2 linked regions of the Ovis aries genome follow. The protein of the gene in region 1 purifies or fractionates together with the protein of each later gene. This does not show direct contact. Links are inferred from orthologs where the notes say so. Each region holds a gene or a part of one and is shown on either strand. Other genes may lie near its edges.

Evidence for each region.
Region 2: the proteins of AKIRIN2 (region 1) and PSMA5 purify together in Homo sapiens (affinity purification with mass spectrometry; 3 studies listed by BioGRID and IntAct, with this or other methods). This does not show direct contact. The link is inferred for Ovis aries from reciprocal best matches to the Homo sapiens genes AKIRIN2 and PSMA5.

Annotation. Positions count from the first base shown.
Region 1 is NC_056061.1:49,618,471-49,622,384, forward strand, and holds the start of AKIRIN2 (akirin-2), read left to right. Parts: upstream 1-1,160; coding exon 1,161-1,395; intron 1,396-3,914. UniProt on the Homo sapiens protein: Molecular adapter that acts as a bridge between a variety of multiprotein complexes, and which is involved in embryonic development, immunity, myogenesis and brain development.
Region 2 is NC_056054.1:86,670,942-86,674,855, reverse strand, and holds the start of PSMA5 (proteasome subunit alpha type-5), read left to right. Parts: upstream 1-1,048; 5' UTR 1,049-1,161; coding exon 1,162-1,190; intron 1,191-3,914. UniProt on the Homo sapiens protein: Component of the 20S core proteasome complex involved in the proteolytic degradation of most intracellular proteins. This complex plays numerous essential roles within the cell by associating with different regulatory particles.

The sequences.
Region 1 (3,914 bases):
ATTTACAGGGTACAGCTGGCTTTGCCGAATAAGTGGCTAAAAGCAGCTATCTGGAAAGGGCAACACATAAAGTTCAATTCAAGGTTCCTATAACCTGATAGTACCACTGTTCTCTCCTGCAATTCTAAATAGGTCCCCAAAATCTTAGTATTTCCTAGCCAGTCGATGTGACAGGTTTTGTTTCTGGCACTGTTTTAATCAGTCTTGAACTGTTAGGTTAGCTTCGTTTTCAAGTTCCCGGTTGGTAAATCACTGTGGGAGCGTACCACGACAACTACTACCTGAATATTAAAGGTTTTTCAAAACCTGCTTTCCCCACCGGTCGGCTTTCTTTTCTCCCACTCTCTAACGGGTTTTTCTCTTTTCTCTTACCCTCAGTTCCTTTTACACTCAAGATGTGTAGGGGGATTTAAATTCCAATCCGGAACTCGGAATCGCTGGCCTTGAATGACGGGACTCGTAGTTTTCATGACTTCTCCTTAACCGCTTTTCACGCAGAGTCCTTCCTCCAGTGATAAACTACAACTCCCAGAATGTATGCTCGGGCTCCCGCCCCCCGCTATGCGCACGCGCCCTGAGGCCGCAGGATTTGAATCGGCGGCGTTGTTATTGACGCCATATTGGGGCCGGCGGCGGGTGGAAGTCAGACAGTGGAGGGGGAAGCGGCTGGATGTGTTTGCTGGAGCTCCTGCCGCTGCCGCAGCCTCTCAATCTCGCCGCATCGACCACCGCTCTCTAACTTCGGCCGCTGTTCGAGCGTCTTAGGAGCCGCGTTCTAGCCTCACATCTCACGGGGCTGGTATTGACTTCTGAAGGAGCCGGTCTCCGCGCAGGAGCGCCTCAGGCGCGGCGCAAAGCCCGAACGGACGGCGGGGGCGGCCGGAGCGTCTCCCGGGGGAGCCGTGCCTGAGGAGGCGGAAGAGCCCCCCTGACGCGGCCAGCGTGAGCCGCCGCCACCGCCCCTCCTGCTCTCGCCCCAGCCGGCCCGGGCCACTGCCCCTGCCGCGGAGGCGGCGGCAGCGGCTCTGCTCCCCTCGCCGGCGCTCCGCCACCCGGCTTTCCACTCTTGAGCCCGTCGGTTAGGCTCTCTTCGGGGCTCCGCTTTTACCCGCTTCCTTCGCCCTCCCTTCCTGACTCCACCCGAGCCCGGCGCCCCGGCCATGGCGTGCGGAGCCACTCTGAAACGGACTCTGGATTTCGACCCGCTGCTGAGCCCGGCGTCCCCGAAGCGGAGGCGATGTGCGCCATTGTCGGCGCCCACCTCTGCCGCCGCCACCCCGTCGTCGGCCGCCGCGGCCACCGCCGCTTCCTTCTCGGCCGCCGCCGCCTCGCCGCAGAAGTATCTCCGAATGGAGCCATCTCCCTTCGGCGACGTCTCCTCCCGTCTCACCACAGGTGGGACTCGGTCTTGCGGCCGCCCGGGGGTGGAGGGCGAGGGATGAGGCCGCGGGACTAGGGGTGCAGGACGGCTCTCCGGTCTTAGCAGAGTCCTCGGCGGCCACATTTTTCTTAAGGAGCTCTTTCAGTGTCGGAGACACAATAGGAATAGCCTGATATCGGGGGAGGGGTCGGGGGTGGGGTGGGTAGGGATGGTGCCTTGCCGGGTATTGTAGGGTAGAGGAAGGTCTTTTTCTTTGGGCCGAATGACTGGAATCGAGCGTTTCCGTAGTCTGGAGAGCCCCAGCGGAAATGATCAGAGAGAGTGCTACACGGAAATCGAGGCAAACGAAGGGTCACACATTTCACCCGAATCTCGATGGCTGTCTCCCAGAATCGATGGGTTGCACCTATTAACTCTGGAACTGGGTGGTTTGAGGCTAGGCGGCCGCCCCTCTTCCAGTTCAGACAGGGCTGATTTTAGTACGGAGGGCGTGGGGTGGGGGAGGGATGTCACTGGGGCGAGATCTAGGCCTGTCATTAATCACCCACAAGAACGCCACTTTGGCTGAGTCAAGACCTGTTTCCCTAGCAGGGTCAACAACAAAGAAAATGCTCTTCCCGAATACTGTAATACGATCACACTATATATGTCTAGACCTTGAGAAACTTGAACTTTTAATGAAAAGCAAGTTGTATTGAACTTCGGGGCTGAGTAGTTGCTTTAGTTAAAAGTGCTTTATTTTTGCCCATGAAAGTACTTTGGAAGGAAAGGGCTAGGCCTTGAAAATAATAAATCAACCCAAGATTCCAAGGGACTTCAGAATATTTTTGCTGTTCATCTTGAAACATTTCCTGAAAGTGACTGGGCAGCTACCTCTTGACTGCTTTGTACTGCGTTTGTGTCCGTTTTTTCCTATACTTTGAAAATCCTTGTGTGCCCCTGGCATAGTCTTAAGATAGGCTTATGTGGACTAGTAGTGTAAATGCTTCCCTTGTGTGTGTAGCATGCAAAGGTTTCATGTGTGACCGTTTGGTGATAATAAGATCTGTAGACAAAGCCTTTTCGTAGCTTGATTTACTTTTTTATCGTCAGCTTTAAAAAGAAAATCTGTGGGCAGTATTTAACTCTACTGGTAACTTGATTTGGAATTGACATAAGTTTTGTAATTTTTCAGGTCATACTTTTAAAATATCTTTTTCCAAATACATAGGGAGATTCTCAGATGCCTAGGCTACCATCTTTTGCTGTTGGAACAGTGTCAAGAATGAGTTCCTGGGATTAATACTATTTTCAGAGTTTGTCTTTTTAGTGAAAGACTATCACTGAAAATTGAAATGATACTGTGGAATCTGTACTTAATAAGGCCACTTAAAAATAGCTCTAGCTAACCAGCAATAAATTTCATTTGAGGGGGGTGAATTAATACAGTGTTAGGTTTGGGAGTTAAAGTATATTGAAGTGCTAAAATAGTCTTGAGCATATAAAGTAAGTCAGCTAGGGGCTATATTTGTCCTCACTTCAAAGGGAATTAATTCAGAAAGAATTGTGATTCTTTGCAGATCTGTCATTTCGTTGATGTATTTAAAGCATTCACTAATGCAGGTGACTCCACATTTTATATTTCGGTTAAGTGGACCATTACTATTATAATAGTAAAATGACTGGAATTATTGAAATTGTTTAAGCCGGCTGATTCAAATTCACATTTTTCCAACATATTGGTATGTTTTCTGTTTTTCAAGGTGTTTTTGGCATCTGCTGTAACTTTGATCATATCCTGAATTCTAAAGTCACACACTAACTGATATTTATTGAGTCTCTGAAAAGTTTTTTTTCCCTAGCTATTTCAATTAGAGAACAGCAGTTAAAATTGATTAACTTTTGAGTTGCTAAAATTTACCTTTTTAACTGTGGTCTTGGAATGACATTTTACATGTAATTTAGCCTTATGTTAACACGGCCAGTTTTGGGCTTGCTCTTGTATGGTTTTGGTAATGGTGTCATAATGGGAGCTGCAGTGTTGTGCAGGTATCAAACAGCTTCCCAGTTTTCATGTCCTCTAACTTGGAAATAATTTTCCAAGTACCTAACTTTTAAATTCCTGTTTTAAAAGTGGTGATTCTTTAAACTTGTCTAGAATGAATACCATATATCTTTAGCAGAAATAAGTAGCTAGGGTTGGAAATGGAAAGCAACTTACCAAAATGAAATTGACTGGGGCTCTATGGAAGTTCTTTATGGAGTTTTCATTTCTGTGGGTTCAAATATAATTTAAACAATTTACAACTAGACTACTGAAGTGCAGTTTTTTTCAGAGCATGTGTATAATTTATTATGAATTTACTTTTGTTCTCTGGATATATTTATATATGTGTTTTCTGATATGTTGCTGAAGTCATGTTGTCACTTCAGGAACTGGGTATCTTTTAAACTCTAGCTTTGTTTCTTTTGGTTGTTAGTCATCTCAGGAAGGTTTGACTTGATAACTGTTATTTAAATCAATATTTTTCAAACTATTGTGACTTAATAGGAC
Region 2 (3,914 bases), on another chromosome or scaffold:
CTGGGTCACTAGGTTGAAAGCCTGTAGTACTAGTGGCTGGGGGGTAAGAATGGAAGTCCCCTACACATGAATGAGTTCCCTTCCAAGAGCGTGTTAGTAAGTCCAACAAAGTTAGCCTAAGCATCCAACTAACACAATCGGCTATATAGTACTGTACTGTAATAGGTTTCTAAATACTTTTCACACTAATATATAAAAAACAAACACAAAAAAAATAAAGAAAACACTTTTAATCTATGGTACAGTACCTTGGAAAGTACAGTAGTACCAGCTACATCACCACTGCTTTAGCTCACTTCGGGATATCTTGGCCTTCAAATAAAGATACTATACTACTGTACTCTATATACTACTGTAAAGAACACAAAAGCAAAACCACTTGTAAAGGACGCACACATGTGACAATGTGAACTATCTTAGGTAACTGGACAGGGGAAGGCACTTCCCACCTTTGAAAGTTTGCAACTTTCAACTTTGAAATTTCCTATGTAGGAGACTTCCTGTAAAATTACCCTGGCCATGGGGAAACTTCAAGACCTTCCTACCAACTAAAACTCACCAACTTTTCTCAACAAACGAGCCATGGGAAGGGTGAGCTGAAGTGAATGGACTCGCTCACAGCACCGGTGCAGACGCAAGCATTTCCCAAGTTCAGTCCTGCAGGCAGTCACAGCACCTGGAGGGAAGTCTGCGCCAGAGCCGGAAGAGCGGGGAATACAGCTAACAGCCGGGCGGGTGGACAGCGAGGAGAGCCTGGGACAAACGCTCTCTGATAGGGACCCATCAAACCAGGGTTCAGACAGTCCGGCTCGCCATAAAATTACCCAGTCGACAATCTTGGGACAGGTTGACCACACGCCTTCAGTTCCGAGCGCCCCTGGCAACCACTAGCGATTTAAAACGGAAGAACGACCTTTGTCCCGCCCACCCTGGGCCACCGGAGGCCCGGCGGGTTAGCTCGTTGGCCCAATCACCTCGGCGGGAACTCCGATCAACCAATAAGAGACAGGTACGGGAGGGCGGGCTGAAGGGTGGCGAGCGCACGCGCAGCTGGGAGAGTGGCCCTGGCAGTGTGGCGGTGTGGGTGAGTTGGTTGCAGGTGGACTCGTGTTGGCTCTAAGAATCCCGGAGTAGCCACTGCCGCTTTCTCCTGCCCTTACCATGTTTCTCACCCGGTCTGAGTACGACAGGTCTGTATGGCTGGGGGGGAGGGGAGAGGGGGTCAGGTAACGGGTGGGCGGACGCGGGGCCCGGTCTGGGCCTGGGTTCTGCCGTGTCATCGGGGCACCCCCACGAACCCGAATTCTGGCCCAGCCAGGGGGTTTCCTCCCTTCCCCAGGCGTCCGCTGTGTTCTCCAAGGCTAGATTTGCGCCCATCGGCCTCAGTTGTCCTACCGCTGAGTCACTGCTGGGTCCCAAGTCGGTGCGGAAGCGTGAAGCTCCGCTTTGTGCTTCGGAAAAGAAGGCTGATGGGGCCGGAACTCTGACCTTTAACCCGGGGAAGGCCAGGAGTCACCCTCTCTCCCCTTCTTTTTGTGCTGAGTGTGACTGCCTTTTAAAAGATGTAAACGCGCTACCTGGAAGAAAAAGCAATTAGGGATCACTTAATGGGTTTGATGATTTCAGCTCCCTTTTCTTTCTAGGAGGACAGCCTCGTTTTCCGTTTCTTAGTTGTGGGAATAAAGGTGCTATTCCTTTGATTGAGTTGTAGTAGGGCGTCCTGGGATGTTTAGTTTCTGCAGAGGAGCGAAGGAAGTCTCAGCTTTGCCAAGACACAGTGTCTGGAGTCAGATTTTGTGGGAACTGAAATTTAGAGTGATTCTCAAGAGTTTTGTCATCATGCTGATTCAAATAGCCTTTTTGAATTTTTAAAAAGTTTAAGGGAAGTTGCTCTAAGTGTGTCGAAAACCAAACCTGTTTTTGAAATCAAAGCTGTGAGATTGTTGTATCTTTAAAAAACTTTCAGAGCTTGGGAATGTTAATATTAAGTTGTTCTACTTATGCTGTAGACATTTTTACTTTCAGTTTCTGTTTTGATCAGGTATGATTCACATAGCTAGCTATTAAGTTGCTTAAAAATTTTTGAGGCCAGGAAAGGCAGATGTTTTCTCTTTATTAGATGGCTTTGAGAAGCTGCATTTCTTCTCAAGTATATGTTGATCTTGTTGAAAGTCTTATCACCTAGAACTGCTACTTCTAAAAAAAATTTTTACTGACTCATAAGATGTATGTGAGGCTTTAAAACTGACTTTTTTTCTACTGTCCTATAAAATGACTTTGTTGGTCGGTATTTTCTAAAACATTGAAGAGAATCGTCTTTGTGTGATACAGTTTTGAGTAAGGGTGTGTATGATGGAAATTGTCCTTATCAGAAAACCTTTATTAAGGTTTTTGTGATCATTTACTTAACAGCTTTATTAACTGCTTCGTGTTACTCATTTTTGTATCTTCCTGCGTTTGTGTTGAGTCGCTTTACTCGTGTCTGACTCTCTGCGACCGCATGGACTGTAGCCCACCAGGCTCTTCTATCCAGGGGATTCTCCAGACAAGGATACTGGAGTGGGTTGCCATTTCCTCCTTCATTGTATCTTCATAAGAATGCCTAAAATATAGTCTGCTTGGCTAATATACTTAAATGCTTGCTGTGTACAAGGCACTGTTTTAGTTGCTGATCATATAGCAGTGAAAAAAATCAAGATCCTTGTTCTCATATGGGAGACTGTCCTTTAAAAACTACTTAACAGGAAAATTCTCTGGTGGTCCAGTGGTTAGAATTCTGGGCTTTCACTGCTGAGGGTGCAGGTTGGATCCCTGGTTAGGGAACAGATCCTATAAGCTATGAGGTATGGCCAAAAAAAAAAAACCCCGCTGTTTACAAAAGTAACTACAGTATAAGTCAGAAATGTGTTCATGTCATTAGAGAAGCTGAAATCAACACTATGGGAGTTTTAATGACAGAGGTTGCATTTGATATTATAAGGGGATTATGGAAAACTTTAGAAGGAGTTGATATTTAAACTGAGTTCAGGAGTAAGAATTTAATAAATATGCACAGTAAGAGTCAATAGTTTTGAGGCAGAGAATATAAGATGAACAGAGGAGGGGCCGTGAGAAAACACAGTTCATGTTTGAGAAAATTCTAGGCTTCTGGCACATACAATGCGCATATGGGAATAGGGAGTTCAGAGAAAAACACTGGTGCTAGGTATTGGGTGGCTTTTAATTTGAAGTTGAAGGGTTTGGGTCTTATTTTGTGCCATTAATTGTCATTTTAAGTTACACAGTCATAATTGTATTTATAGGAACTAATTGACTGAATTAGAGGAAAGAGTCAATACCGGTTAGATGGCTGTTATAGTTAGGTGAAAGGTAATGAGGGCATTGAGAATGGAAGGGAGAATTGAGTTACTGTGGGGGAGGAACTGATTTAAATTAATATGACTTGGCATATGGTTAATATGGGAAAGGGCTTCCCAGGTGGCTCAGCGGTAAAGAATCTGCCTGCCCATGCAGGAGCTGGAGGTTCATCCTTTGGTCGGGAAGATCCCCTGGAGGAGGAAATGGCAACCCACTCCAGTATTCTTGCCTGGAAAATCCCACAGACAGAGAGGAGCCTGCTGGACTCCAGTCGGTGGGGTTGCAGAGTCCAGCACGACTGAAGAGACTGGGCACTTGTGCACTAATACGGGAGAAGGGAAGCACTGAGTCAGGTCATTCAGAACTTTCTCGCTTGGGAAACTGGGAGCAGGGAGGTGTTTCAAAGTAAACAATGAAGTAGGAATGGCAGCAGGTGGAGCCGATTTCGAAAGGATGACTGGATTTAAGATTTATCAGATTGGAAAGTGTTAAGTGTTTGGTATTAATGGGATATCCATGTGGAAACACTCAGAAGACATTCAGCTTAACGAGGAAAG